2 linked regions of the Cricetulus griseus genome follow. The protein of the gene in region 1 purifies or fractionates together with the protein of each later gene. This does not show direct contact. Links are inferred from orthologs where the notes say so. Each region holds a gene or a part of one and is shown in the gene's direction. Other genes may lie near its edges. The genes, in order: Eif4b and Eif3a.

Region 1 (14,905 bases):
GGCTGGCCGAGAACTCACAGAGATCCACCTGCCTCTGCCTCCCGAGTGCTGGGATTAAAGGTGTGCGTCACCAACGGCCAGCAAAGGATGACTCTCAGAGAACTTGTAATTCATGCACTTAAAATATAGAATATAGTAACAGCCTTTGTGCTGGAGACAATGTGCAAAGAATCTTGTCTTCACCAGACGTTGGCAGTGGAAAAAGAGATTTGGGAGTGTGGTGTGGGAGAACAGCTGAAACACAGCAAATAATGGAATTCTTCATATTTTATCATAATGTGTATGTAATAGTAAGAATAACATTTAAAACTCAGAAAAGGGCAATTTGAGAGCAGCACTGTATTGTATTAAGTTTTGTTCGTTTTTGAGGTGTTTTCACTATGTAGTCCTGGCTGGCATGGGACTCCTTATGCCTACATGGCTCTCGTGTTTGCTAAGACTAACAGCTTAAGATTTTATTTTTATCAGGTGTGATGACACACACCTTTAATATCAGCACTTGGGAGGCAGAGGCAGACAGATCTCTGAGTTTGAGGATAGCCTGATCTACATAGAGAAACCCTGACTCATTCGTTCGTATGTATGTATGTATGTATGTATGTTGGGGGGTTTGCACACGCATATAGTGTCTGCAGAGACAGTGAAGCATTGGACTCTTGAGCTAGAGTTAAAAACCAGTTGTTGCCCACCTGGTTTAGGTTGTAGAAACCAACTTGGGTCCTGTGGAAGAGCAGTGAGAACTCCTATAGCAGAGTTATCTCTCTAGCCACCACAGCTTTTATTTTATGGACATTGGTGTTTGTCTGCATTTATGTCTATGTAAAGCTTTCAGGTCCCCTGGAACTAGAGGTATAGACTAATGTGAGCTGCTATGTGTGCAGTGGGAATTGAAGCTCTGGTCCCCTGGAAGAGCAGCCAGTGCTCTTTCTTAATGCTGAGCCATCTCTCCAGGCTCCACCACCACCCTTTGTTTTTTAAGCATTTATTGTCAGGGTAGCCAAGCACATGTATGCCTCAGCATAAGTTGGAGAGGTCAGAGGTCAACTTTTGAGAGTCATGAGCCCTGATTTGTTGAGCCATCTGGCTGGTCCTCACACTAAGCTTTTTGAAGCAATCTTTGGTTGTTTTGTATCAAACATAGAAATTTTCAGTTATTCTGTTTTATGCTTACATGTTTTTAACATATTCTAGAATTTGTTAAGGAATATATATTTTACTATCACCCCACCCAAGAGAGAAAGGAAAAAAAAAAAAACACTTTAGCCAGCAAAATTTCATTAGGGGAACATCCTGGAGCTGTCATTTTGTGCATGTGGGTTTTTTCTCAAGTGGTGTTCCTAGGGGAAGCATTCTGCCGTGAGCGCCATTCCTAGCACCCATTGGGGTTTTTGGCTTTGTGTTTGTTTAAGAAATAATTAACTACTGAGATTTTTAATTTAGTACAAATGGTTCTGATTTGAAGATGTGCTTTGCTCTATAAAAACTGAATCAGTGAATAGATGATGAACTATGGGGGAGAGTGGTGTTACCTATACGCTTTTATTTCTAGAGTATCGAGATCGTTATGATTCAGACCGGTATCGGGATGGATATCGGGATGGATATCGGGATGGCCCACGAAGAGATATGGATCGCTATGGGGGCCGGGATCGCTATGATGACCGAGGCAGCAGAGACTATGACCGAGGTAGTCACAGTAACATACCCTGTGAGAGTGCTTCTTTTCAAGAATTTCTTTTTGGCTTCTTTTCCTTTCTGTGTGACCACATTTGAGATCTGTTACAGGCTATGACTCCAGGATAGGCAGTGGCAGAAGAGCATTTGGTAGTGGGTACCGAAGGGATGATGACTACAGAGGAGGTGGGGACCGCTATGAAGACCGATATGACAGAAGGGACGATCGGTCCTGGAGTTCCAGGGATGATTACTCTCGGGATGATTATAGGCGTGATGACAGAGGTACTCATTTTCTCATTCTTTATCGTGGAGCACAATGTCGGAAAGTTAAGTTGTAAAGTGTATTTGCCTACCTCCTGGCTTAGAAAACACAGTTTATATATTTTAAATGAAGTAGCAGAGCACAGTAGACAATTGGATATGGGTGACATAATGAAAATGAGACAATCTTTTCTTCAGTTAAAATTAAAAAAAAAAAAAAGCCAGCACTGGGAAGGTAGAGGCAGGCGGATCTCTGAGCTCAAGGCCAGCCTGGTCTACAACGCAAGTTTTAGGGCATCCAGGGCTACACAGAGAAACCCTATCTCAAAAAATGTATATATAACAGTTGAAAAGGAAACAAGAAAATAAAAGTTCCAGTCAGTAATTTTAGTGTAATAATGTTGTTGCGCTCTTTTTTGGTTTTTCAAGCAGGGTTTCTCTATGGCTTTGGAGCCTGTCCTGGAACTAGCTCTTGTAGACCAGGCTGGCCTCGAACTCACAGAGATCCGCCTGCCTCTGCCTCCCGAGTGCTGGGATTAAAGGCGTGCGCCACCAACACCCGGACAAATGTTGCTAATTTTAAGTGAGATTTTTGTGTGCTTATTCTAAAAATTATGCACCTGATTGCTTGAAAAAAAGCACTTTCACACTCGCTCTGACAAATGTTATTAAAAATAACCACTTATGTTCTTAAATGTGGTGATGCCATCTGAAGGCTAGGTTGTCTGACCTAAAAAATTGATAGGACTGGTAATGCATACATTTAATCCCAGCACTTGGGAGTCAGCGGCAGGCCATGGCTGGTTCTTATCTGTTTAGATCTCACTCGCTCACTCTTTTGTGTATGCTTGCATGCATGGAAGTTGAGGAGAATTTGTGGGAATCCAGTCTCTTCCAAAAGTGTCCAGGAAATCAAACTTGAGTTGTCAGCTTAGGAGTAAACATCATTACCTGCTGAGCTTCCTCTGTACCTGTCATGTCTTTAATATGAACTTAATTTTGTTAGACTTAACATGTAGTATTTTTAAATCTGATGGTCCTATCAAATTTGGCTTCTTGTACATAGAGACCATCACCTATCCTTGTAGCTTTTTACATAGTATCTAAACAGGTGATGAGTTTGTTGATACATGGAAATTTTAAATGAAAAGGGAGGAGAGGTAGAAGTTGGTAATCATATTCATTCCATTGTCTAGTGTGCCAAATATTGGCTACATATTTTCTGAGCCACTTTTATCTTGAATGTAAAGATAATTGCTCCTTGACAAGTTTGGGCAGTTGTAGAAACTGTTGTCTTATGTCTCTCATAGAAGGTCTGGAGATGGTTCATGAGACTGTGTTGCTATGCAAGCAGTAGGAACTGAGTTCTGTGCCAACACCATGTAAGAAACTTGTCAAGGGGCTGGAAGAGCTGGTGAACATTAAGAACACTTGGTGTTCTTGTAGAGGAGCTAGATTCAGTTCTCAACACCCACATGGTGGCTTACAACCACCAAAACTCCAGTTCCAGGGGATCTGTTGTTCACTTGTGACCTCAGAAGGCACCAGACACGTGTGCTTCATATACATGAAGGCAAAACACTACATATAAAATACATAACTTTAAAACAGAATTTACATGCCGGGCGTTGGTGGCACACGCCTTTAATCCCAGCACTCGGGAGGCAGAGGCAGGTGGATCTCTGTGAGTTCGGGGCCAGCCTGGTCTCCAGAGCAAGTGCCAGGATAGGCTCCAAAGCTACACAGAGAAACCCTGTCTTGAAAAACCAAATTAAATAAATAAATAAATAAATAAATAAATAAATAAATAAATAAATATGCATAGCTTGAAAAAGAGACAGGCTAATTCCTAGAACTCACTGGATAGCCATCCTACCTTAATCAAGCAAGCTCTGGGTCACTCAGACCCTGTTCAGAAAAGGTGGGCAGTGCTTAAGAAATGAGTGTCCTAAGGTTGACATCTGTGCGTGTGAGGGATGCACACACAAAAGCCAAATAATACACTGTTTCAATACATGCACCCACGTAATACAGAAGACCAAACTTAGCATTTTATTGTGAGAAGGCAGTGCAGGTGGGCATGGCGTGTATTCTTTCATCACTTAAACCCAGTGGTATACACACAGGCTTCCTCTCTAGTCACAGTACCTTTCATATCAGTTTTCTGCACTAAGGCTGAAACCAATTTTAGGTTTATTGTGAAAGTACTCTGATAATGTAGAAAGATTAATAAGAAATTGGCCTACTTAGAATTTCATACAAAAATATAAGAAGATAGTCCCTTGTCTGTAAAGTGCCTGCTATATGGGTAATTAGTCTGAGTTCACATTTCCAGCACATGTCATTTAAAAAATGGTGAGTTGGGTATGTTCACCTGTATCTATAATGGGGTGATTGAGTGTACAAGGAGATCCTTTGGCACTCTCTGGCCTTCACATTCGTGTTCTCTCCTTCTCATTCTCACAATTCTCTCTCTCTCTCTCTCTCTCTCTCTCTCTCTCTCTCTCTCTCTCTCTCTCTCTCCCTCATCCCTCCTTCCCTCCCTCCCCTCCCTCCCTCCCTGTCATTGCTACAAGGTCTTTTTTCTTTTGGGGTATTCAAGACAGGGTTTCTCTGTGGCTTTGGAGGCTGTCCTGGAATTAGCTCTTGTAGACCAGGCTGGTCTCAAACTCATAGAGGTCCGCCTGCCTCTGTCTCCCCAGTGCTGGGACTAAAGGCGTGCACCACCACTGCCTGGCTCTACAAAGTCTTTTGAACCTGTTGAAGATGCTCATTTTCCAGACCAGATCCTTGAACAAGATCATGAGAGCTGTGTCTGGAGTCTGGCTTTTGGCATTCACCTGATTATTTGGAAACTGTTACTTAGAGTTTCATTTAACTTAGGTCCCCCCCAAAGACCCAAACTGAATCTAAAGCCTCGGAGTACTCCTAAGGAAGATGATTCCTCTGCTAGCACCTCCCAGTCCAGTCGAGCGGCTTCTATCTTTGGAGGGGCAAAGCCTGTTGACACAGCTGCTAGAGAAAGAGAAGTAGAAGAGCGGCTACAGAAGGAGCAAGAGAAATTGCAAAGGCAGCTGGATGAGCCAAAACTAGACCGCCGGCCACGTGAGAGGTAAGGTGTCTTGATAGTGGTTTCATCCCTGCTGCTGAGTGGAGGCATTTTGGGGATGGGAGTGATGGCTGGTATCACTCACTGAGAAGTGTTTTGAGCAGGGTGAAGCGGTCTCCAGAGTTTGGGACAGTGTCACACACTAAAGACTTCATTCCTTGGAGTTTTCAAAAGTTTTGCCACACTTGCCATAAATAGAAATTGGTGGCACTTTGATACAGAAGTAAATAAATCCTGCCTGTTTTTTGTAAAATGGGTTTATCAAATTTTTTTTGGTTGGTTTTTCTTTTTTAAGATTTTATTTATTTATTATGTATACAATCTTCTGCCTGCATGCCAGCAGAGGGTACCAGATCTCATTCAAGGTGATTGTGAGCCACCATGTGGTTGCCAGGAATTGAACTCAGGACCTCTGGAAGAACAGTCAGTGCTCTTAACCTCTGTGCCATCTCTCCAGCCTCGGGTTGGTTTGTTTTTCAAGACAGGGTTATTCTGTAGCTTTGTAACCTGTCCTGGAACTCCGCCCTGTAGACCAGGGTGGTCTCAAACTCAGAAATCCGCTTGCCTCTGCCTCCCAAATGCTGGGATTCAAAGGGTGCACCAACAGCGTCCATCTTGTAGCTGTTAATTTTTGTAATAAACAGTTTGTGTGAGGTTCATGATGGCCTTTAGTGAACTGAACACCATTTTTCTGTCGTTTTTAATCTCCTGTGTGCAGACACCCAAGTTGGCGAAGTGAAGAAACTCAGGAAAGAGAACGGTCGAGGACAGGAAGTGAGTCATCTCAGACTGGGACCTCAGCCACATCTGGCAGAAGTAAGTCAGACCAGGGTGGGTATCAGTATTGCTGTTTCCATAACCAGAGTATGCAGGGACTTTGCAGTGTTTGTAGATTCAGTCTTCAGACAAAGTCTCTACATCGTCTTGGGTATCCTGACATTTGTCGAGTAGACCAGGGCCTTCAGCAAGGGTTGATAGGTTTTCACATCTCTCCTCCAAAAGCCTGAGAACAGGTACCAGAATAGACTTCAATGTTCTGTTAATTATCTGTCTCTAAAGAGAATACTTGACTGTTAGACTATCTTGTTTTTTAACATGTATTTTGTGGAGAGGTGGATATTCATGCCATGCCTTGAAGCCAGAGGAAAACCTGCAGAAGTCTGTCTCTTCACCCTGCGTGGTCCTGGGCATTGGCTGAATTCAGTTATTAGCAGGTCTTGGTGAGAAGTTGCCACACCTGCTGAGCCATCTTGCCAGCCCCTATTTTCTATCTCGACAGTGTATGTTGGGTTTTTGTTTGTTAGTCTGTTTGTTTTTAGAGCCACCATAGCATTGGCATTCACAAGCTCTTCTTGGGGGTGACATTGTTTGATGGTGTTATTTAGGTAGCCTCAAAGCAGTGTCCTTGAGGGATAGAACATCATTCTTCCTGAGATTGTTCACTCACAAGCATAGCTAGTATTTCATCACAGCACCCATTTCCCTATACTGTGACCCACTGTTGCCTAAGCTCTTCTACCGCCAAGGTGCTTTGTAAATTGAGCCAAGTGTTTTAAGAGTTTTCTGGGAATGTTTTACATTGGAGTGGTCCAGTAACATAACGTAGTGGTCCTTGTGGCTGGGATAAGTGTGGTATTGCTCTGTGTGGCCACTTTGGTAGTGTTTGTACTTCAAATGTAGGAGGCACCTCTGTAAAATCAGGCTCCACAGTTCCAGAAAACTTTTTGTGCAAATACAAGTGTTTTTGATCTTTGTTCCTGTGTGAAGGCAGTTGTCTCTTACATAGGTAGATTTTTCCCTTTTCTTCCCAGAGAACATGGTTGGTTTTTGTGTAATTATAACTATTAGCCAAATCAGTCTGTACTGATGGAATTAATGTGGTGGTACGTCATTTTCTATGCTGTTGCAGTTCAGGTAAATGCTATACAGTGTATATACAGTGAGTCTCCCCCCATCCCCCAGATACACGAAGGAGAGAGAGTGAGAAGTCTCTAGAAAATGAAACCCTCAATAAAGAAGAAGACTGTCACTCTCCAACCTCCAAACCTTCTAAACCTGATCAGCCTCTAAAGGTAATGCCAGCCCCTCCGCCAAAGGAGAATGCGTGGGTGAAGCGAAGCTCTAACCCTCCTGCTCGATCTCAGAGCTCAGACACAGAGCAGCAGTCCCCTACAAGGTGAGTAGGCCTGCAACAGCAGCTGCTTAGCTGGAAGGTGCCCTGAGGGGTCTTGGCCTTTGTAGTATGTATAATTCATACTGAGGTGTCTCATAGCAGTGTGTTTTTTTCATTTTTGTTAGCCAGTTGGCATCGTTTTGATGGGTTGAAATCAGCTATGATGGGCGCATTTATACCACAGAAATTGTAGACATGTCTATTGGGTTTTGTCCTGAGATATACTGTTAGTGTAACCTTGGAGGGTCATATCATTTAAGTGACTTAAGATTCTCTTAACTTTTCTCAGTTTTTGCAAAGAGAAAACTACTATTGCCTTGCTGGGTTATAAATTCCAAAGCATATGGCAGTTGAGTGTGGAAGTGACTGCTTTCATTGTCTTTTCCTATACTTAAATATTGCAGTGTTCAACATGCAGGCTCTTGTGTATTTCTATAAAGGCAACCCACTGCATTCTGGAAATGGTATAAGCTTGTGTTGTCTTTCTTGTAAAAACTGATGGTTGATTGCTTGCTCCATTCTAGTGGTGGAGGGAAAGTAGCTCCAGCTCAGCCCTCTGAGGACGGACCATCAAGAAAAGGTGAGCCAAGGGAAGTAGGTTTTGATCTGTGTAAAGCCTTGGATACAAACACATCCAAGAGCTACAAAATCAGTTCCCAGCACCAGCATATATGGTGGCTCACAACCATTCATATCTCCAGTTTCTTTAAGGCATTTGATGCCTCTTTGCCCTCCACAAGCACCAGACATAGGTGGGGCACAAATATGCAGGCAATACTCATAAAATAAAAACAACTCTTAAAAAAATTCCTGAATTAAACACCTTGACCAAATAAATTTGTTTTTGATTTTCAAGATAAAGGTATGTAATCTTGGAACTGGAACTCATTCTGTAGACCAAGCTGGTCTCAAACTCTCAGAGATGTACCTGCTTCTGCCTCAAAGTGCTGGGATTAAAGGCATGAGCAAGAAAAAAAGAAAAAAATATTATTATTATTATTTTTTTTTTGCTGAAAGCTGCAGTATTTGTGTCTCATGAAGACAACAAGTTCATGCATGTATATGATGTATTTTAATCCTATCATTACTGCTGCCCTGTTAGCTTCTCTTGTCTCCTTCCTGCCAATCCCTCTTCCCCAGCTAGCCTCTATTCTACTTTTATGACTTTTGTGGGGGAGTTGCCTAGTGGGCTTTATTGAGGATTACAAAAGTTCTGGCACCTTACCAGTGGCCACACTATTCAAAATGTCTTCCCTCCCCCTGTCAACCTTCAGTCAAGAAATTTGAACTTTTATGCCCTGTTTTGTGATGTTCTTTTGATGAGCTACCTTTCCTTGCCAATAGAGGGCAGGAATGGGCTCTTCAAAGAGTGTCAGAAGCTGGCTTTCCTGGTAAACCTTGCCTTGGTGGGGAAATTGGACAGGAATAACTATGTCTGTCCAGGTGAGAAATGTCACCATTAACCAGCCAAGGTCACTACAGAACAATCTAGTCCCTTTTTCTCTTTCTTTCCTGGAAGAGGGGTTTGCTGTTTGTTTGGGGTTTTTGTTTTTTGAGATAAGAGTTTATCTGTGTAGCCCTGGCTGTCCTATAACTTACTCCAAAGACCATGCTGGCATCAAACTGAGAGATCTGCCTATCTCTGTCTAACCAGTGCTGGGATTAAAGGCCTGCACTACTACCACCACCTGGCTTCTGGTCTTTATTTCTATATTGCTTTTCCGGGTGACATTTACTACAGTGAGACTTTTTAATATGTCTTGTTTGGTATGCCTGGGTGGTATAGGAACTTGGGAAGAAAGGCCTGGAATGGAGTTAATTTCCCTTAGTACATGTTTTCTTCGGCTTAAAAGAAAATCTAGTACAAGGAAATAGGTTACTTTATGTGACTTGAATTTGGTTTTTGTGTTTCTGCTTAAACAGATGAAAATAAAATAGATGGGGTAAATGTCCCAAAAGGCCAAACTGGGTTCCCAAGTCGTGGCCCTGGAGATGGAGCAAACAAAGACCACTGGAAGGGGTTGGACAGGAAAGATGGCAAAAAAGATCAAGACTCCAGATCTGCACCTGAGCCAAAGAAATCTGAGGAGAACCCAGCCTCTGTAAGTGTTGTGTGCTTGCATCCACTTCTCATAGCTCAGTTTTGCAGACTCCTTTTTTCTTGAGACTGGAGAAGTTGGAAATGAGGCAGTGGTGTTTTTTTCAAGTTAATGAGAAAAGCTAAGATGGGCTTTTTGTTGATGAGTCAACCCTTCTGAGCTCTTACACACTTGCAAAGTGGAAAGGATGTGTATTGCTGGTGAGCTGACTTGTGACCCTGGCCCTCCCTGATTGCTTCGGTGGAACATGCTACCCCTAGATGAATTCATGTCCCCTATGCCAAAGCATTAACTTCTGCTTCTAGGAAAATCTCAGACTTTATTACTTTGTCCCTCTCATCTATTATAGAAGTTCAGTTCTGCAAGCAAGTATGCTGCTCTCTCTGTGGATGGTGAAGATGAGAATGAGGGAGATGACCACGCTGAGTAGACCTCCACATGCTGTGCTTTCTTCTAGTCTCCACCCCGGAAGATTCAAGAGCAAATCAAACCTCTATCCAGACAAGAAAAAATAAAGCTCACCATCTCCTGAAGACCTTTCTTAACTTTTTTTTTTTTTTTTTAATGAAATGAAATTGTTTTGCATGCTGCTGCAGCCTTTTAAAGTATTGAAGTAACTGGAGAATCACCATTGTAGCCAGAGAGATGTGGCTATCACTTTTGAATGGGGAAGTTGTGATGTGTTCTGATGATAGAAGTGGTTACCTTTGTGACTAGTGCCTGGGGCTCCATTCAGCAGAAATGTAGTGACAGTGAGACTCGGTTGCATCAGTTAGGCAGTAGAGAAAGGTACAAGGAAGAGTGAGAGTTCTACCTTTTAATTGTTGTCCTGTGGTGGCACCTACAAATTCCCAAACATCATCTGAGTACATTTCCCACCGTTGGCCAGGTAGATCTAGTCTCTCAAGTTATTTTAGTCTCCAGGAGGCTGCCAGCCCTTCTACTTCAATTCAGACTTAGCTGGGGCCAGCCTAGGGGAGTTGTGTTTTGGGTTTTTTTTTTTTGTTTTGTTTTGTTTTTTAATTTTAATTTTTTACCCCCCAAGGGGGTAGTTGGGAGTGAGTCTACAGGCCACTAACAAGTAGTACCTCTGGGGACCAAAATGAATGGGAAACTCAATCGTGGTTTGAAAAGTTTTGAGGGAATGATCAGTTATTTTATACCAGGTAGTAAGGGAAATGCTGTGACCTCCAATAGACACATGAATAGAACAATCATTTCCTGGATGAGGAAGCACTTAGCGGTCGTGGGAAATTCCAGTCTTCTAAAATCTGTCCTTTCTAAAGGTTCGAATATATCCACATTCTTTCCAAACTTTGTCACTGGTCATCTCATGTTCTTGATGACACTGTCAGCCTTCCAAAAGCAGTCTCTCTAAGTCACACACCTGCTCTCACAGACCTTTTTTTTTCTCTCTCTCTCTTTTTTCTTTTTTTCCTTTTCCTTTTTTTTTTTTTTTTTTTCCTTTTCTTTTCTTTTTCTTTTTTATCTTGGCCACCAGAAGCTGTGGCCTTGTGGAATCACTGCTTTTGTCAAGCAATCCAGCTCTGTGGTATCTTTAATTCCTGCTCCTGCTGCCTTCACCCCCTTTGGAGGTCAGAGTATTTCAATTGATGGGCTTGGGTGGTGAATGGAGAGAGTTGAGTTAAAGGTCTTCAGCCTTGATTGGGGTGTTTAAGATTTCTATTTGTTTCCTTCATGGGAACCCTATGCTGGTGCTTGGGTTTGTAATGTGACCTAGACTGTGCTTTTCTGCTTAGGGGGGGTGGTTTCTTGATTTCCTTCAAGAATAAAGGATGATGTAGAGAACTATTGAATAAGGTCTGGCTTCTCTTGAGTACAGTAGCTTGACCTGTCTGCTTTGATCTGCACCTTGACAGCAAGCTTCCCTGTTGTGGGACATCGGGGTACCTGCAGGCAAGTGAGACCTGGTCTTAATGTGCAAACCCTAGACCTGCTCTGCAGGAGCGTTGGTTTCATGGGCTGCAGCAGTGGGCATAGCAAGTCGCTCATCCAGTGGACTTGATTGGCTAGTAGCTAGGAAGCGGGCCTTTAGAGAGACCCACCATTGAATGGGGTTTTTTTTTAAACCTTTGGTTGTAGACAATGAAAAGGTAGATAGCCCTCTTCATGTCTATTTCCCTTCCAGATAGTTGCATCCAGAAGAAAGCTGTTCTGTCCCATGCTCTCCTACTTTGCTCCTCTGTTAAAATAAAAACAGGGGTTGACTTATGTCCCGCTCCTGAATACATGTAAAATTTGTACAAAACTATCTTCTATGAAAATGATTTGTAATCTGTAGACATTACTTGGGAGATGTCTTGAGATGTAAAATCCCATCCTTTGGGTTGAGGGTTTTTTGTTTTTCTCCAAATAAACCCAGTCTTTAAAGTTGAAGTTAATGCTGCGGTTTTTGCATGCTCCCTGTGTTTTTATTGTTCCACCTCTCTTCCAAATCTCTAATCCCTCAGTCTGCATAGCAGAGGATGAGTTACTGCATGGCACAAAGCAGTGCACAAAGCCCAAGATTGGGGACCTTATTCAACTTCATCCTCCAGCATTTCTGATCAGGGTTAACACCTGAATGTGGATGTGACAGGTGCAACCCATGCCTCTTTAAATTCACTCCCAGCTATCCGTGAGGTCAAGTGGTGCCATCCACAGACTGCACAGCTGCTGTGGAGCGGCAGTACTGAAACCACTGTTCTTCATGAGATACCTGGATTTTAAGCTTTCCAAACAAAAGTGGTCTTTGCTGAAAAGCAGGGAAAAGGGTTAGGGCAGAGACAGAACTGATAGTCACAAGGAATTGGAACACATTTGAGGTACTGTATCCAAGAATGATGCAGCACAGGCTGTGTGCCATTAGAGACAGCTACTTTCCTCGTTTTTGTTTTGTCCTTTTTGTGTTTGGTTTGGTGTTTTGAGACAGAGTTTCTCTGTGTAGCCTTGGCTGTCCTGAAACTCAGGACAGTATGAAGCTGGCCTCAAACTCATGTACATCCTCCTGCCTCTGCCTCCTGAGTACTAGAACTAGAGATGTGTGACACCACCTCCCATTTCTATTTTCTAACAAGTCCAAAACTGGCAAGAGTTTGGAAGGGATCCGTGAGTGGCTGTGCTGAGAGCTTTTCAGTGTGGCAAGAAAGAGGTTTCCCAGGCTTCACCCCAGAAGCTAGTCTAGGCCTAGTAGCCAACCAACTGGGAGCAACCAGTCTTTAGAAGACCTAGCTTCCCGTCTGCCCATGTCAGCTAGCAGAATGCAAACAGGATATTCACTTGACAGACTTGAGTCTAGGCTGGGGACACAACAGGCCACATAGACTTGCTTTCTCCTATCAGAACCGGGCACTGTGCTCTGGAATCCAAGTATATATATGAAGGCCCGGGTTCATGCGAACAGTATCACCTCAAATGCTTCACTAACTCACAAGTCTCAGGAACTGATTGATCACATCTGCTTCTCGGTAGCAACATTTGACAAATAAGCTTCGTTTCTCAGCAACCATTATAGCCCCCAAGGCTACAAGTGAAGGGGGACTTGCTTTCCTGCCCCCACAAAAAGAAGTTTGGAAGAAAATGCTATCCCCGCCCAGCTGCAGCCACCTCCTGGTTGGACAATGCTTGCTCTGTCCTCCAGGGAGATCCGCCTCTGGAGTTGGCTCTGTCCCTTACCCCATACTACTCCTTCCTGGTTCCTAGAGCCCAGACCAACCACCAAAATTTCCTTGACTCAGTGTTCTTTCAGCCAGGACAGCCCCATACTCTCAAGACACACCCTAAGAAACTGAATGCATCAGTCATGGGCATGAGGTCTCAGACTGTGGAAAAGGGGGTTCTTCCTTCAGTACTGAGATGGATCTCTTTCTGTATAGTCAAGGTAAGAATATTTGCCATGAAGGGAGGTAAGTGGGTGAACACCTTTATCCATAGTGGCCTGGCTCTCCCCCTCTCCTCCCTACAGCTTTGTGGCGTGGTAGCAATCACAATGTCTGGCTGCCTCCCCAAGCCACTCACTTTGATCCTATCCCCACCAAGCATCCTGCTTTACATTTCCTTCCCTCAATTGGTGCCTGGAAAGTAGTGAGCTTGAGCTGAGAGGATTCAGCTACCCATCTTGTGACTCCTCTCTTCCCCTTCCAATTCTTAGGAACCTTTCAGGTTCCTCTTAGTAGCCCTTTGGGCATGGTGTGAAGTTCTAGTCCCACCCACCTTTGAGATCCAATCAATGTGGCTCACTCTGGTGATTTCAGAAATTGTAACCTATGGCCAACCTGCTGAGGTGGTCCATGCCTTTGATCCCAGCAGGGAGGCAGAGGCGATCGAGTTTGAGGCCAGCCTGGTCTACAAAGCGAGTTCCAACCAAAGCCCAGAGCATTCTGGAAAGGGCTGGATGTTAAAAGAGCTGGCTGCTGACATCAAATAATATATTTTCATATTCTTTATTAATTACACAATATAATCTTGCCACAGCAGGACCTTCAGCCTTGCCCTTTCCCATCAGCCTCCAATCCCTGTCACTGTCTTCTAACTTGTGCTTCTCTCTCTCCATTGCCAGTGCAACCATTCCCTCCCCATCACTTCTCCAGCTCTCCCTCTAGTCCCCCAGGAGTCCGGCTGCTGTAAAGTGCCCACTGGACAGCAAGATCCATGCTTTCAGCTCTTCCCAGCTGCCAGATTAGAATCAGGTGCTCCATTCCCCAGGAATCAGAACCAAACCGCCAAACCCAGCCTTTGCCAGAGACATGATGAGCACAGAACCCTGCTGAGATGGGGCAGGCCAGCAGGCAGACCCAGAGGGCTTGAGCAGGCCCTGCTGGACTGCTTTGGGAACCTACTCGACAGTTAACTCTAGGCACTTCCCACTTCTCAGCATGGAGATCCTCTGGCTCACCAACTTAAGGAAATTCCAGTGTGGAAGGAAGGTAATAGGATCTGTTAAAGAATGCTGGGAACTGGGACGCCCATAGGTTCAAAGACTCTAGGACCACACATTCCCTACCCTCCACTGTCCCTTCCCACTGTCACAACTCAAACTAGCACCATGGCCCATCAGTTTAATTTCAGGCGTTCTTTTCCAATATCAGACTTTTAAAAAGGAATGAGGGGCTGGAGAGATGGCTCAGAGGTTAAGAGCGCTGGCTGCTGTTCCGGAGGTCCTGAGTCCAATTCCCAGCATCCACATGGTGGCTCACAACCATCCGTTATGAGACTTGGTGCCCTCTTCTGGTGTGCAGGGATATATGCAGACAAAAAATAATAAATAAAATACATAATAAATAAAACAAAAAGTAAAAAAAAAAAAGGAATGCGATGACACCACCAAAAGAACTTGCATTGGTAAGCCCCAGGAACACAGGGGCGATTACTAAAGCCGTTGAGGGGTGGGAGCTTTGAACCTTGTGTGGGTCCTCAGCTGTGAGTCTTCTGGGAGAAGAGACACAGAAAAGTTCCAGTGGGGGAGAACACCAGGAAGTGGTGTCCTAAGACCCGGGACACCAGTACATCTGGCGCCCCCACCAGGTCAGGCATGGTTCAGAATAGATCCCGCACTAAAGTGGCCGCCGAGATGCCAAGGCCTCGCAG
Region 2 (15,977 bases), on another chromosome or scaffold:
GAATTTTTTCTGCCCATCACTGCATTAAACGGAAAAATCTCACTGTGGAGACATAAATAAGAAGATGCTTTTATGGCCTGTACTGTGGTTCCTTCATTCATCCATACAGTATCTCATTAATTCACGTATCCCATATCTATTATTGCAAAATGTGTAATAAACTTGCAATAATTTATTCCACCTTTTTCTTCCAGACCTTTCTTTGTGTGGTGCTAGGGATTGAGCCAAGGGCGTTGTGCACGTTAGGCAAACGCTCTGCCACTGTACATCCTCAGCCCTGAACTCAAGCTATTTCCTACCAAGAGCTTAATAATTCGACGCAGTTTAAATGGCTTTCAAGCTCTAAGCATAGTAATTAATCTATGCACACTAAATTTCTTAGTCAGCAATAAAAGACATGGCTTGCATAAACCTCTTCTCCACCAACACACATTTCTTTTATTTGTTTGTGACGTGGGCTGTATGTAAAAATCGACGACACTTGCGTATTTTCAAACACACAAACGCTATGTTCCAAGGCCTTCTCCCTGTATGAGGTGGCTCTGCCCCGACCCGTCTGGCCTTGGGAATCCTTAAGACACTAACCCCACAAGGATACCGAGGAACTCCGATGAGTATTAGCGCGCTCTCCGGCGCGTCCCCGCCGCTCGGGCGAGCACCCCCGCGATGAGCACGCTGGCCCGCGGAACCGGCTCGGCACTTCCGCTAAGTGGATTCCGCCGGCGGCGGCGGAGGCACACGCCATTAAGTCCCAGCACTCGCGGGGCTGCTGGCGGCTAGCCTGGGCTGCGCAGCACCGTGAACGCCGGTCTCCACAAACAAAAACAAACCAGAAAACATTTTTTTTTTTCAGCTTTTCCTGCCAGCCGGGCGAGGTCGCCGCGTAGCCAATGTGACCTTTAATGACGGCCTGCCCACGCGCCCCTCGGTTTGGGAATGATTGTGCGGACAGTCTTTCCTCGTCCCCCTCTGCCACCGCGCGCTCGCTGAGCCCGGCTGTGCGGAGGAAACTGTCTCCAGGGCCCCCGCCCGCGCCCCGAAGACGCACACAGCAGTTCCCGCCACCCGCCAGCCGCAGCCACGTCAACCCCGGCTCGAGACGCCAGTGCGTCTGCGCGCGGAGGAATCCGGCGCATGCGCAGAGCCCCGCCCCTACATCCGGGGCTCGGGCGGCGGCGGTGCCGCCGCAAGGGAGTCACGTGGCTCCTTCCTTTCCGTCTCTGGCCGGCTGGGCGCGGGCGACTGCTGGCGAGGCGCGTGGAAGGAAGCTCGCGCTAGTCCCCCTCCGCCTGCCTTCTCTCCCGCTCCGGGCCACTAGGGAGTTCGCTGACGCCGGGTGAGCCGAGCCTCCTGCCAAGATGCCGGCCTATTTCCAGAGGCCGGAAAATGCCCTCAAGCGCGCCAACGGTGAGTACGGCCGCAGTCGCGCCGCACAGGGCCGGCCCGAGGCGGGGAGGTCGAGGGCCCCGGCCTGCTGCCCGCAGCCCGGGCTGCCGAGGCCGGCGATGACGGCCGCCGCCACCCGGCCGGGTGTCGGCACGGCCGCCCGCTCGCTCCAGCGGGCTCCCGCGGAAGCGCCGTCGAACCGTCGCCCCGGCCCGTCCTCCCCGCCGCCCGCCCGCCGCCTGGTGCTTGCGTCGCGGGGCTGCGGCCCGGGAGTTAGGTCCCTCCCGCCCTGCGATCCTTCCCCCGATCGGCCTCCGCCGGCTCCGAGGACCCGCGGGCTGCCGGGGAAGCCCCGCGCTCCCTACCGCCATCTGGGAGTGTCGGGAGGAGGAAACATGGCTCCCTCCCGGGGACAATGCACGCGAGAAGCTCAGCTCCACCTCCCGCCGGGGCCGAGGACCCGGCTAGGTGACTTCCACCCCACCTCTCGGGCACGTCTGGCCCCAGGCCCCACGCGGAGGCCTCCCGGGTCAGGGTCCGCTTCCCTAAGCTGGTCGCCAGCTTGCACCTCAGGCCTCTGATCCAGTAACTTGTGTCCTGTGGGTCGGCAACCCCCCCCCCCCAGATTGATTAGGGTCAGTTCGAAAACCTGTTCTGAATCACGAAAAGTTAATATTCTTTAGGGATTTAAAAATGGTTCTTGCCAGGTAAGCCTCCAGAAAAGTTGTTTCCCCAAGGTCACACTTTTAAGTGTCGGGAAACTAAAACCAAGGTCTCTTGATAGCCAGATCACGGCTTTTTTTTTTTTTTTTTCCTTTCTTTTACCGCAGCGCCACCGAGTATTTCTATTTCCATATGTGTGCTTAAGCCCTGGCGCTTTCAGGAAAGACTTGTCCGGATCTCTTTAGTTTGCCAGTGTGTGGTGGAAAAGTCGTGTGCACATTTCTGATCTTTAAAAACTGCCTTTAAAAAATCCTAACAATTGTGTCTCCCAATCCAAACAGATAAACCATGTATGTAGAGGGTTTATGTTTGGCAAGTTTGCTAGGACTGGAGGTCTCTGTGAAAAGGCCATTTGAGCTAGTACTTAATAAAGGAACATTTCTGATAATGTCAGGAATAAAGATGTGTTGGTTACATACTTCTGAAATGTGGTTTTTTTTGTCGTTAGGGAGCAGTCTGCAATAAAGTAATTATGCACTCTGAATTTGTAGTAGAGCTTACTAAAACTGCAAGTTGCTGATAACTAACCTAATACTACCAACACTAATTTACTGAAATCAGAACTGTAGCTAAGTTAGAACTTTGGATGTTTTACTTAAAATTGCATTGTGCTGTAGAAAATGGAATTGGGGGACTTATTGGGTAATAACTGTTATGTGTATGTTTAATTTATAACATTGACCAGCCGGCATTTTCCCCCCTGTAGCTGTCTACTTAAAGCACTGCAGTCTCTGGCCTACATACATAGTAACATGCTGACCTTGTTTTGTTTTTTTTTTTTTTGCTGTTTGGAATCTTCATGTGAACTTAATAGTTCAATAAATTTTAAAGCAGGAAGGTTACATAATGTGTTCTAAATTGCTTTTCACTGTTTCTCAGTAGAAGTAGACTTGATTAATGATGAGCAAGTTGGGGAAAGTATCAGCAAAGTACTGTGTCGGTAGCATGGATCCTGTCGGTGTGTTTTTCCAAAGTCCTGTATTGACTTGCTGCAGCCGCATTACATTATCTGAAGTAGCAGGTAGTGATTGATGCCTTAGCTTTCTAGGGACTTGACATGAGCAGATTGTCTCGTAGCCCTGTGTATAGAATATTACATGAACGATAAAAGGGCTTTTAACAGCCTAGAAATCTGTTTACTTAAATGTTTTATCTGTAGCATCTGTAACTCTAGGGATATTTAGACCTAATCTCCTGAATTATTTTAATAAAATAAAGTTAAATAAAATAGCCCTGAAAGTCACCCTAAGCAGTAATTTTGAGGGAAAAGTGGCACAGCCTTTCTCTTTATACTCACACCCTACAACTCCCGCCTTAAGAGATAGTTGTATTGAAATCCCACAACTGAGTAGTAACATTATATCTTAGATACTTAATCTGTTGTATAGATTAGTGAAAAATGAAGGATTAATGTGAGCCTTTTCTTTGTTGGCACACATGTTCAGTCATGTCCTAAAGATTCTATACTTTGGAATAATTCTGGATTTCAGTTTCTAGAATCTTAATCTTGGAATCATTTAAGAGTTGAAATAATTTCTAACCTCAAAAGCCTTCCCACCCCATTAACTAGGCAATTGCAAGGAGCTAAGTCTCCATGCTTGTGAGTTAGGATGACTCAATCATCAATCATCGTGGAGAGTTTGTTCCAATTTCAGCCTTTTGTTTAAAAACATTTATTCCCCACCCCCCATTTTTCTTATTTCGGGGTTGAGGGGTGGTAAGGATGTCCATCCATAATTATGTGTTTTGAGACAGGGTCTCTTACAGAAACCTGGCTGCATAAGAATCCACCTGAATGCTGGGGTTAATTTAAAGGCATGCTCCATCACATCCCGTAAAATGTTTTATATGTAAGTGTGCTTCCTTTATAGTTTGAGACTTTCAGACTTAGAAAGGATGAGTTTATTTTTGTAGGGTTTTTGAGTGCCAGTCTCATTAGGTAGCACAGGTTGTCCTCATACTTGATCCTTCTGCTTCAATCTCCTTCAGTGCTAATGATAGAGATTTGGTTATATCTCAGGAAGCTTCTAAGGATGACATTAAGAAGCCACTCTGACAACCAACAGTAACTACAGTTGACAGGGATCTGTTCTCTTCTGACATACAAAAGCATGCATGTGGGGCACATGAAAGTAAAACACTCATACACATAAAATAATAAAACAACTAGTATTTTTTAAAAAGTAAAGAAACCACAGTCCCATAAGAAATACATATTGGGAAAGTGGATTATTTATTTATTTTTTATTTTTTTGGTTTTTGAGACAGGGTTTCTCTGTGGCTTTGGAGGCTGTCCTGGAACTATCTCTTATAGGCCAGGCTGGTCTCGAACTCACAGAGATCCACCTGCCTCTGCCTCCCGAGTGCTGGGATTAAAGGCGTGCACCACCAACGCCCGGAGGGAAAGTGGATTATTATATTTCCAGTGTTTTATATTTTATTTTATCAGGGTTCAGTTCTCAACTTGATTTGTATTTCGTATTGCAAACATTAAATAAGAGCTTGAAAATTTAAATCTTTAAGTTGGGGGTTGGGTATATGGGCATAATATGTTATTTTAATGTTGCTTTAATGTTACAATTTTTATTTCATTTTATTTTATATGTATGGGTGTTTTGCCTGCATGCATGACTATGCACTCACTGTGTGCAAGTAGTGCCCTACTTGAAGTCAGCAGAGGGTGTCGGGAAGAATATTGAATCACCTGGAACTGGAGTTAAAGATGATGTGAGCTTCCATGTAGGTGCTGGAAATAGAACCCAGGTCCTTGAAGAGTAGCCAGTGCTCTAAACTGCTGAGCCGTCTCTCCAGCCCTGCTGTTATGGCTAAATTCATTTACTAATAAGTTTTTTTGCTGATATGAATTTTGGTTAAATTGATTTGAAAAACACCTAAAGTAACATGGAAAGCAACCTTAGGCACATTTCAGGAAGAGGATAGTACTTAAAACAAGACTTTTTGGTTCCAATATCATATCTGGCTGTAAGTGCTTGTTTCATATGGTAAGATTTTGGGGTGGCTCTGTGACTGAAATGAAGATGGTCTTTTCCCACATAATGTTGAGTTTGTATTTGTTTGCAAGTGAGTACCATTTGATACTATAAGGGGTGGAGCTAGGGTTGTGTTTTTTGCCTGGCATACCAGAGGTGAGGCCCTAGGTTTGGGCTCCAGCCAGAGGGAAAAATTGCTGGTATGAGGACTTAGAATATTTTATAAAGATGCTTAGTTTTTGATATATTGTGTGGTTTGTTCAGGTATGAACTTAGTATGTTTGAGAGCCAGAGCAGTATTGTTTCACTAGAAGACTGGGAAGCACCATTCCTGAAACCTTAGTCATTAAACTTGTAGATCTGGTAAGCTCCCAACTAAGGAGCTTTTTTTTGGCCTTCTGAGTGCATGAGTATTTTACTTGTATGTGTGTGTACCTGTGTGTCTGGTGTCCATGGAGTTCAGCAGAGAGGATATCAGATCCCCTGGGATGGAGTTACAGATGGTTTTGAGCCAGCATGTGGATCCTGGGATCAGAAGCAACAAGTGTTTGTTTTAAAGCATTGACCATTGACCACCTACCCCACCAGCCTCAATGCTAACCATTAAAAAAAAAAAAAAGGTACTGAAGATCAACCCTACCCCAGGGCTTCTAACAGTCTTGCTTTAAGGCAGAACATCCCCAAATTCAGATTAATTCAGAAAAAAGAATTGTTTGCTCAAGGTTATTTTTGTTTCTTTAAGGAGTGGTAGAGACAGGGTTTTACTGTGTAGCCCAAGCTGTCCTGGTCAAACTCAGAAGTCCACCTGCCTCAGCTTGGTATTAAAGGTATGGGCCACTGCCCCTGGCCCCAAGACTATTCTTTAGTAGGAAAATAAACACTTTGTTTTAAAATGGAGATGTCGTAAAGCCAGTGTTTTAGCTCCTTCAAATTATGTGTGTTTTTTTCTCTGTTTCTGAGACAGTTTCTCTGTCTTTGGAGGCTGTCCTGGAACTAGCTTTTGTAGATCAGACTGGTCTCGAGCTCACAGAGATGTACCTGCCTCTGCTTCTGCCTCCCAAATGCTGGACTAAAGGCATGTGCCACCACCACCATGCTTCAGATTATGTTTTAAACATTCAAGTGGAAACTTTTTGTGTTTGGAATTCAGCATTTATCTTTTTGGTTTTTGCAGCAGCCTCCCAAAGTGCTAGGATTATAGGCATAAACCATCACTCCTGGCTTAATTACTAAATTAAAAATGAACTTAACCAGTTGACTACATTAAATATTTTCTACTATTTGTGTGAAGGGGGAAAAGGACAAAATATACATTTTTAATCTAGAGCCCACTTCTGTTGACTGAATTTGAAAAGGTACTATATACATAAAATTTAAGACAGCAACTGGATTTGTATGTTACTACACATAATGCCTTCAAGCTCATAAAGTCACATTACTTTGCCCTGTAGTCTATAGTTTAAAAAATAACCTTAATTTAAATTCATTAAAGTTTTTAGTTTCACTGAATCATTTAAAGAGGTCATACAGAATTTTCACCATACCCAATTTCCATGAATGAATATTCTAAAACAGTAAAGTATATCTATCACTCATAACTAAGGAGCCAGTAACTGAAGTTAGTTTTGTTTTGTTTTAGACCTAAGATCTTACTTTGTAGCATTGGAATTCACTAAGTAGACCAGACCAGACGCCAGCTCACAGATAGATCTTCCTGCCACTGCCTTCTGGGTGCTGGGAGCAAAAGCATGCACCAGCACCCCTGCCTAGAAATAGACTTTTTTGTTTTTTGAGACAGGGTTTCTCTGTTGGACAGTCCTGATTGTCCTGGCACTAGCTCTGTAGACCAGGCTGGCCTCAAACTCCCAGAGATCCGCCATCCCCAGAGATCCGCCATCCTCTGCCTCCCGAGTACTGGGACTAAAGGCATGTGCCACCACCATTGCCAGGGCCTCGATTGAGATTATTAAGTAAAGTTTTTACTTTTTTTTCCAATTACCTTTTGCCCTAGGATCCTATCCACATACTACATTACATTTAATTGTCATGTCTTAGTTGTCAGTGTCTTAGACTTTTTGAGAAGTACTCCAGTGTCTTGTAGAATGTCCTTTATTTTATTCTGTGGGCGCTATTGTAATGAGATACCACTTCACCAATCAATACCAAGAATTTATTTCTCTCATTTCTGGTGTCTGAAAAGTCCATAATAAATAAAACTAGCAGGTTCAGTATCTGGTGAGAGCTGGCTGTTTGCCCTTTACTGTTCCAGGGGGAGATAAATGTGGTCCTTACCTGATGAAATAGAACAAAAAGGAAGCTATCTAGAAAGCTACTTGTTGCATTTAGAGGGTGGAACCCTTTGATCCAATCACCTCTTTAAAGATCAACTTTTTTTTGTTTGTTTGTTTTTTGTTTTTCAAGACCGGGTTTCTCTGTGTAGCTTTGGAGCTTATCCTGGGGCTCACTCAGTAGACCAGGCTGGGTTCGAACTCAGATCCACCTGCCTCTGCCTCCCAAGTGCTGGGATTAAAGGCGTGCGCCACCAACTCCAGGCAAAGACCAATTCTTTTTTTTTTTTTTTTTTTTAAGATTTTATTTATTATGTGTACAACATTCTGCTTCCATGGATATCTGCACACCAGAAGAGGGCACCAGATCTCATTGTAGATGGTTGTGAGCCACCATGTGGTTGCTGGGAATTGAACTCAGTATCTCTGGAAGAGCAGTCAGTGCTCTTAACCTCTGAGCCATCTCTCTAGCCCAAAGACCAATTCTTAATAAAGCATTCCATTAGTTAGTATGTATCAATCTGAAGTTTGGGAGGACACTTGAATTTAGACCATTGAATCCTAATTGGTGTTTCTTTTGCTAATTGTTGAGAAGTTTCTTTTGGTTTTATTTATTTTTTCATGTTTTTTGAGACAGGATTTCTCCATGTAACTCTGGCTGTCCTGGAATTTAGAGAGCCACCTGCACCTGTCTTGTGGAGTGCTGGGATTAATGGCATGTGCTGCTAAGCACAGCAGCTCCTTTTTCTTTTTTTTTTTTAAGTTTACTTTTGAGCTGGGCTACATAGAAAGACCCTATCTCTCAAAAGAAAAAGGTGTGTGTGTGTAAAATGCTGGAAGAGCCAGAAGAAAGCTGAAAGTTACAGGCTGTTGTGAGCTGCCTATGTGTGTGCTAGGACTTAGGTTCTGTGCAAGAACTGGACATTCTTCATCCTCTCCAGACCCATGAACCCCTTCTTTCAGTCCCTTTCTTGTTTTTTTGGTTTGCTATGTAAGTCCATTTACATGATAGGAGTAGGTGAACTGTCAAATCTTCAAACTTACATCTATAACTATTCAATATAATCCCAAACAAAACCTTTGCAATCTATTTTGTAATCATTTGTAAATTTTGTATGGAAAGGCTCAGACCTATGTTGGATCAGAGATACCAAAGGACAAAGTTGCATCACTTACTGTCCAATTCCAAGACTTCACTAGATTGCCTTAAGAATGAACTCAATTAAATGGTGCCAAATGAAAAAAAAAATGTTGCCAACTGGTCTTAAAGTAGATATTTAAGCAATCTGCTGTTTTTTTTACTTCTTCATATCAAATATATGTGATAAAGTCATACTTAGACTTTCAGTTACTGGGGGAGATATTCCCCAATCCAAGACTTCAGTTTCTGGAATTTTAAAATCACTGAGTTCTACATGGACATTATATCTTGAGATAATACTGATTTTTTTTGTCATATGTTGGATGATTGTGGGATTCCTGCTAGAAGCCAAACGTGCTTAAATTAAATTACTAAGGAGGCAAGATTTAGATTTTAAAATCTTACTTTATCTGTTGTTTATTTATTTGTGCAAGTTAAGGGAACCTGCACATTCTTTGTGCATGTGGAGGTCAGAACAGTTTTCAAGAGTGGGTTCTCTGCTAACATAGGGGTCTAAAGATAAAACTCAAGAGGATCAGGGTTGCAGCAAGGGCCTTTACCTATTGTGTCACTTCCTTGGTTCTATCATTTAGATTTTTATGTAGTATGTACAACTAACTTTAATTCTCAATTCCTCTCCCCCCTTCCCCCCCAGAATTTCTTGAGGTTGGCAAAAAGCAACCTGCCCTGGATGTTCTTTATGATGTTATGAAAAGTAAGAAACACAGAACATGGCAAAAGATACATGAGCCGATTATGTTGAAATACTTGGAACTGTGTGTGGATCTTCGTAAGAGCCACTTGGCTAAGGAAGGTTTATATCAATATAAGAACATTTGTCAGCAGGTACTGTGCTCATTTTTATATTTTTAAAGTGCTTAGTAACTTTTAGAGGAATTTACCTTTCAAATTAAATTTTATATCTTGATTTGCTTTTAAACATTATTTTAGTTCTTTGGAGAAAAATAAATTCTTTTTCCTTCCTGTAGGTAAACATTAAATCTTTAGAAGATGTTGTTAGGGCATACTTGAAATTAGCAGAGGAAAAAACTGAAGCTGCTAAAGAAGAATCCCAACAAATGGTGTTAGATATAGAAGATCTAGATAATATTCAGACGCCTGAGAGGTATGTGAATTTAATCCCTTAGTAAATATTTTGGTTATTTACACTGTTTTTTCTTTTCCTTTTGCTTTTTTCCGAGACAGGGTTTCTCTGTGTAGTCCTGATTGTACTAGAATGCACTCTGTAGACCAGGCTGGCGTCACTCGTCCTCTTATCTCTGCCTCTCAAGTGCTGGGATTAAAGGTGTATACCACCACCACACAGCAGTGTTTTTCCTTATATGAGCCATCATCACCCCCCCACACACACATACTTGGAAGGTAGATGATTGATTATCAGAAGCAAACTGCTTATCTTTGTATACTTCACCAACCATGTCAGCAATATTTAAAATTTACACTTAGGGTAGAACATGCATTAAAAGTTTTTTTGGGGGGGTGGAGGAGTGTTTTGGAGACAGGGTTTCTCTGTGACTTTGGAGGTGTCCTAGAACCAGCTCTGGCAGACCAGGCTGGTCTCAACTCAAAGAGATCTGCCTGCCTCTGCCTCCTGAGTGCCAGGGAGTCTGCCACCACCACCTTGCCATGCACTAAAATTTAAACTGTTGTAATACAGACTGAAAATTCAGATACAGATGGTAAGGGATAGCTTGACAGTATATATGAGGTTGTGGGAAGAATTTGTCATTGTTGGTTTGGGCTTTCAGATCACAATAAAAATACCTGAATTGTTTTCAATGCATTTTTCTTTGTAGTGTTCTCCTAAGTGCAGTAAGTGGGGAAGACACTCAGGATCGTACTGACAGATTGCTACTGACTCCCTGGGTCAAGTTCCTATGGGAATCATACAGGCAGTGTTTGGACCTTCTTCGAAACAATTCTAGAGTAGAGCGCCTTTACCATGATATCGCCCAGCAAGGTAAAATGACAATATAAAATGTTAATACACTGATTTGAAAAGATGACTTTAGATATTTGTAGATAAACCTTCTGTTCTCTGTAGTTTTTAAAAATAACTAGTTTTATCCTTAGTGAAATGAAATTGACCTTTTTTACATAAATAGCTGAAAAATAGATTTATCTTACGGGTTAATACATTTTCATATGGAATTGTTCTACTGACTTTTGAAGCCCCCTCCTGCTTTTTTAAAGTTAAGCACACATTGATAGGCTTCATATGGTATATTTTCATGTTATTATAGTTCATTCTTGATCATCACTCTCCTGCCAATTCCCTGACTTCTCTTTGTTGACACTTCCCCCCCATCACCCTCCTTTACCCTCTTTTCTACTTGGATAACCTTATACCCTTGGGACAATTTCTCTGTAGTCCTGGCTGTCCTGGAATTCATTCTGAAGGTGGCCTTGAACTCAGGTCTGCTTGCTCTCTTGCTTCCTGAGTTCTGGGATTAAAGGCATACACCACTGTGCCCACCATATTTCTATTCCTAAGCAGTATTGCTTAGTATTGATGTCATGAATCACTTCATACTTGGTTGCCTTTCATCACATACTCTGAAGGACTAGATTACAGGCACCCATCCCCCACACCTAGCTCAGAATTTCTTTATGTGTTGTTAACTTTCTGCTATGACTGTTTTAGTAGGAATATTAGTACCAGTGTTTATTTGCATATGTAACATACGTCTATATCATGTCTCACAAGCAAACTTGTAATATTTGGTAAAAAACTGAGTTGGGGTTAAATCATATTGCTTGTTTTTGGTCTTTTGAAATAGAAAGGTTTGTTTGTTTATTTTGAGACAGGGTTTCTCTGTATAACCTGATTGTCCTGGAACTTGCTCAGTAGACAAGGCTGTCCTCGAACTCAGAGATACACCTGCCTCTGCCTCCCAGATGCTGGGATCAGAGGCGTGTGCCACCACCACTCAGTGAAATACAGTTTGTTTATAAGAGCAAAGATGTTCCAAAAAGTACTCTGATACTGCATAGATGTGAATTTTAATGATGCAGCCAGTAATTACCCATTCTTCTGTTTCTGTATTTGAAATTAGGTAAATCCTTATATCACAGTTTTCATTAGTACAAAAGCATGTTGCATTATTTGTACATTAGATATGTAAGCTCATTGTATTTCATCCTAGCAATTAAAACTGTTCTTTTAGGTCTTTGAATGTAACTCCTAGACTTAATTTATTTTGAAAATTTTTTTTTGTGTATGGATACTTTGACTTTATTTATGTCTATATACCATGTGCATGCCTGGTGCTTACAGAAGCCAGAAGAGGGCCCTGGATTCCCTAGAACTGGAGTTACAGCTGGCCCTGAGCTGCCATGTGGGTATAGGGAATCTAACTTGAGTCCTTGTATAGCCAGATGTTGGCCATATCTTTCCAGCTCCCGACTCTTTTCCTAAATTTAAGTTCTATTTGTTTCGTATTTGTAAATTTCCAGAACCATGTATTGGGCCAGGACTTATGACCGTGTCTTTTTATTTTGCTCAGGATTCAGAGTGTTGGCAGGTTCATGGAGGGAATTAAGACTGACTCTCATTACATAGAGTAATTGTGAGCTTAGTGAATCTTGTTAAAATTGGTCTTAATATGTGGCATATAAAAACCTAACTTAGATATTCAAGTGACAGAAAATATCTAATTCTTGTTTGACAATTATGCTTACAGCTTTCAAATTCTGCCTCCAGTATACTCGAAAGGCTGAGTTCCGCAAGCTCTGTGACAACTTGCGAATGCATTTATCTCAGATTCAGCGCCACCATAACCAAAGCACAGCAATTAATCTTAATAATCCAGAGAGCCAGTCCATGCATTTGGAGACCAGACTTGTTCAGTTGGACAGTGCTATCAGCATGGAACTATGGCAGGCAAGTTAACTATTTGCTTTGTACCACCTTGTATTGGTATTACTGGTTAATTTCAGTAGGTACTGTGAGAATTTAAGGTTGTCTGATGACAGTAGGAATTTAATCACTTGCTAAATCTGGACTTAATCATGTAGTCTTTTCCTTCTATGCAAAAACAAAACAAGTAAAAAAAACAGCCCCCCAAATCCTGCTCACAATGTGGTTCTATGATTGGTACCATTCTGAGTTGGGTAGTGTGATGAGAGAAGTATGGAGAAAAAATATTTAAAGATGGAGATGTTTTTGTTGTTGCTGGTGTTGTTTCCTTGCCTCATTTTGTTTGGTTTTGGTGCCAGGAATTAGGACCTGTCTGTATGTGCTGATCCCAAACCCAGGGCCTTGTCATTACTTGGTAGCCAGTACTTTAATGGGCTAACTCTCTAGCCCCCTGGTGCTGGTGGTTAAACCATAGCCTTTCAAATGGTAAGCATGTGCAATACCACTGATTACATCTAGTTTCTACAAAGACTGTTGATAGCAGTTTCCTCATAATTTTGTGTTAATCTGATAATACATTGTAGCTTTATTGTACTTTATGAGCATTTATTGATGATTAGAAGTTAAAAAACACACTTACTTTTTCTGTATTTGGAGAAGTGCTGGTTTAGTACCATGCATGGTGTATGCTGCATTTTAGTGATGGCAGTAATGATGAAAAGCTTCCTGGCCCTTTCTCCCCTTCTTAGGATATAGTCACATCATTTTGTGACTTTAACATACATGAAGGTGTTTTTATTTATTTAACATAAAAGAGCCAATTGAAATTACAAGGGATTAAACTAAACAAATCAGTTTTTAGTTAAAATGTGATTTAACTAAAAGTTAAACTAAAAGTTAAAAGTAAAGATGTGATTCTCCTGCCTCCCAGCACTTGGTAGGCAGAGGCATGTGGATCTCTGAGTGCGAGACCAGCCTGGTCTACAAGAGCTAGTTCCAGTATAGCCTCCAAAGTCACAGAGAAACCTTGTCTCAAAAAAAAAAAAATGTGATTGAGTTTTCTGTTCTTGCCCAAAGTACTTTTCCTTTTTTATAGGGACACCAATCTTAAATTACTACTTGGAGAGGACAAGCAAACTTGATGTATTAAGGAAAATATTCTAGGACAGCCAAGGTTGCACAGAGAAGCCCTGTCTTGAAAAAAAAAACAAAAAAAAAAACCAAAACGATATTTCAAAGATAGCGTTTTGTATTTATAACAGTTTCTCAGATTTACCAGACAGAAATAGAATCCATATTAGGCATTTTATTTTCTATTTTTATTTATATGTTTTAATTTCATAAAAGTGATTTGTATTTGATCTTTTTTAATGAAGTGATTAACTTGTACATTTTAGGAAGCCTTCAAAGCTGTGGAAGATATTCATGGGCTGTTTTCCTTGTCTAAAAAACCACCTAAGCCTCAGCTGATGGCAAATTACTATAACAAAGTCTCAACAGTGTTTTGGAAATCTGGAAATGCTCTGTTTCATGCATCTACACTTCATCGTCTTTATCATCTGTCTAGGGAAATGAGAAAGAATCTTACACAAGATGAGATGCAAAGGTAAGAATGTTATAGTTGCATGGTAATGAGATTAAACGTAAGTGGTAGTGTGGTCTAAGCATGGTATCTTAGCTTCTGGACGTTTTGGATTGGCTAATACTGTTGTGTGTTGCTAGTGCTTGGTAGGCTGTTTAGTAGTATTCCTAGACTCTACTCCTGAGGGGTCAGGAGCAAACTCTGATTGTGACTACCAAGTGTCTCTGAGACATTGCTCTCCTTGGAGAGTATTCTTGAGCCATCTTCTACTTCTGCCCCGAGAAAAACTGCCACCGGAAACCCAATTGAGAACATGTGTGTTCACAGAGATAATACTAACATGTGAACCTATCCATATATTGGTATATTCTTTTCTTAGAGCAGTTGGATAATTAGGTAATTACATCAAGCTCCTTTTCCCCCCCTTGATTATAAAACAGTAACTAGTATAAAGCACTTGCCTTGTGTTAGTTTATATCCTGGTAAACCTACTATAAGTTGAAAATGTGTTAAGTAAGGAGGTATTACACTGACCTACTTACTATCAACAGTGTGGGTAGTATGTGCTAGGAGAGGAAGGAGGTCTGTTTACTCTTAGGATTGCATGGCTGACTAGGAGCTGTGTATCATTTATTGCTGCTGCATGCTTTTCCAAGAATACTACACACTTTATGTCACTAGCTTGGGACAAGATTAATTCTTTTGTATTACGGTAAAAAATATGGGTAAAACCTTCATGTTTCTTAACATGTGAATCATAAAATGGGGACTATTTGTGTGCACCTTGCAGACTATTAAAATCAAAGTATAGGTTGAATGTGGTGGCACATACCTCTTAGCACATGGGCTGAGGTAGAAGGACCAAACGTTCAACATTAGGCTAGCTTAAACTACCTAGTAAGATCGCTTCCCACAAGAAGAATCCACACAAGACCCTATTACATATATATAGCGTGTTTCTTTTCACTTGCTTTCTTTTTTATTTTTTGTCAAGCTAGAAATTGAATCCATTGCCTCGCACAAGATAGGCAGTTCACAGGTCACCTTTCCTTGTTAGTAAACTGGCTTTTTTTCTTTTAAAGATTTATTTATTTATTATGTATACAGTGTTCTGTCTATATGCATGCATGCCAGAAGAGGACACCAGATCTCATTACAGATGTCTGTGAGCCACCATGTGGTTGCTGGGATTTGAACTCAGGACTTCTGGAAGAGCAGCCAGTGCTCTTAACCTCTGAGCCATCTCTCCAGCCCTAAACTGACTTCTTTTTAAAATATATGTATCTATTTTTCTTACTTTTGTGGAAGAATAGGAAATCAACCAAATGGGTTTCCTTAAGGGAGTTAGTTAATACTTGTAATATTGGTTAGTGTCAGGTCTTTTTGTCCTGTATATGTTATTAAGACTCCTGGGTACCTTTGCTACTTAGCATTCTAAATTGTAGACTTTCTTGTGTTTCAGGAAAGTAAAAAAAAAAAAAAATTTATCCTTTTCTCTGTCATAATTGTGTTTACTTAAAGTCCATTTTCTTAGTTTCCAGAGCTACCTTTAATTATTTTGGTAAGGACATTTGTCTTCACTGCTGTTGGGCCACATTTAGTGTGTTGATATGAGATTGAGTTTACAAGGATTCACTTCCTCAAGGTTCAGTGATCTAATACTGTGTTGTGCTGGAATAATTAGTATGCTACGTATATTCTGTCAATGGCATACAATAGATAATCAAAAGAAGCACATTTCTAATCTTAAAAAATAAAACTTTGTTCACCACAGAATGTCCACTAGAGTCCTTTTGGCGACTCTTTCCATACCTATTACTCCTGAGCGAACAGACATTGCTCGGCTCTTAGACATGGATGGTATTATAGTTGAGAAGCAGCGACGCCTTGCAACACTGCTAGGTCTTCAAGCCCCACCCACACGAATCGGCCTTATTAATGATATGGTTAGTATAAATCTGAGCATTTTTTTGAGGAGAAAACTTTG

Evidence for each region.
Region 2: the proteins of Eif4b (region 1) and Eif3a purify together in Homo sapiens (co-immunoprecipitation; 3 studies listed by BioGRID and IntAct, with this or other methods). This does not show direct contact. The link is inferred for Cricetulus griseus from reciprocal best matches to the Homo sapiens genes EIF4B and EIF3A.

The regions. Positions count from the first base shown.
Region 1 is NC_048595.1:398,486,312-398,501,216, forward strand, and holds the end of Eif4b (eukaryotic translation initiation factor 4B), read left to right. Parts: intron 1-1,549; coding exon 1,550-1,687; intron 1,688-1,785; coding exon 1,786-1,959; intron 1,960-4,821; coding exon 4,822-5,050; intron 5,051-5,765; coding exon 5,766-5,878; intron 5,879-7,009; coding exon 7,010-7,223; coding exon of another isoform or gene 7,224-7,227; intron 7,228-7,744; coding exon 7,745-7,800; intron 7,801-9,143; coding exon 9,144-9,322; intron 9,323-9,668; coding exon 9,669-9,749; 3' UTR 9,750-11,716; downstream 11,717-14,905. UniProt on the Homo sapiens protein: Required for the binding of mRNA to ribosomes. Functions in close association with EIF4-F and EIF4-A. Binds near the 5'-terminal cap of mRNA in presence of EIF-4F and ATP.
Region 2 is NC_048596.1:527,771-543,747, forward strand, and holds the start of Eif3a (eukaryotic translation initiation factor 3 subunit A), read left to right. Parts: upstream 1-1,212; 5' UTR 1,213-1,358; coding exon 1,359-1,407; intron 1,408-9,183; coding exon 9,184-9,374; intron 9,375-9,517; coding exon 9,518-9,654; intron 9,655-10,345; coding exon 10,346-10,509; intron 10,510-12,232; coding exon 12,233-12,432; intron 12,433-13,805; coding exon 13,806-14,014; intron 14,015-15,764; coding exon 15,765-15,936; intron 15,937-15,977. UniProt on the Homo sapiens protein: RNA-binding component of the eukaryotic translation initiation factor 3 (eIF-3) complex, which is required for several steps in the initiation of protein synthesis.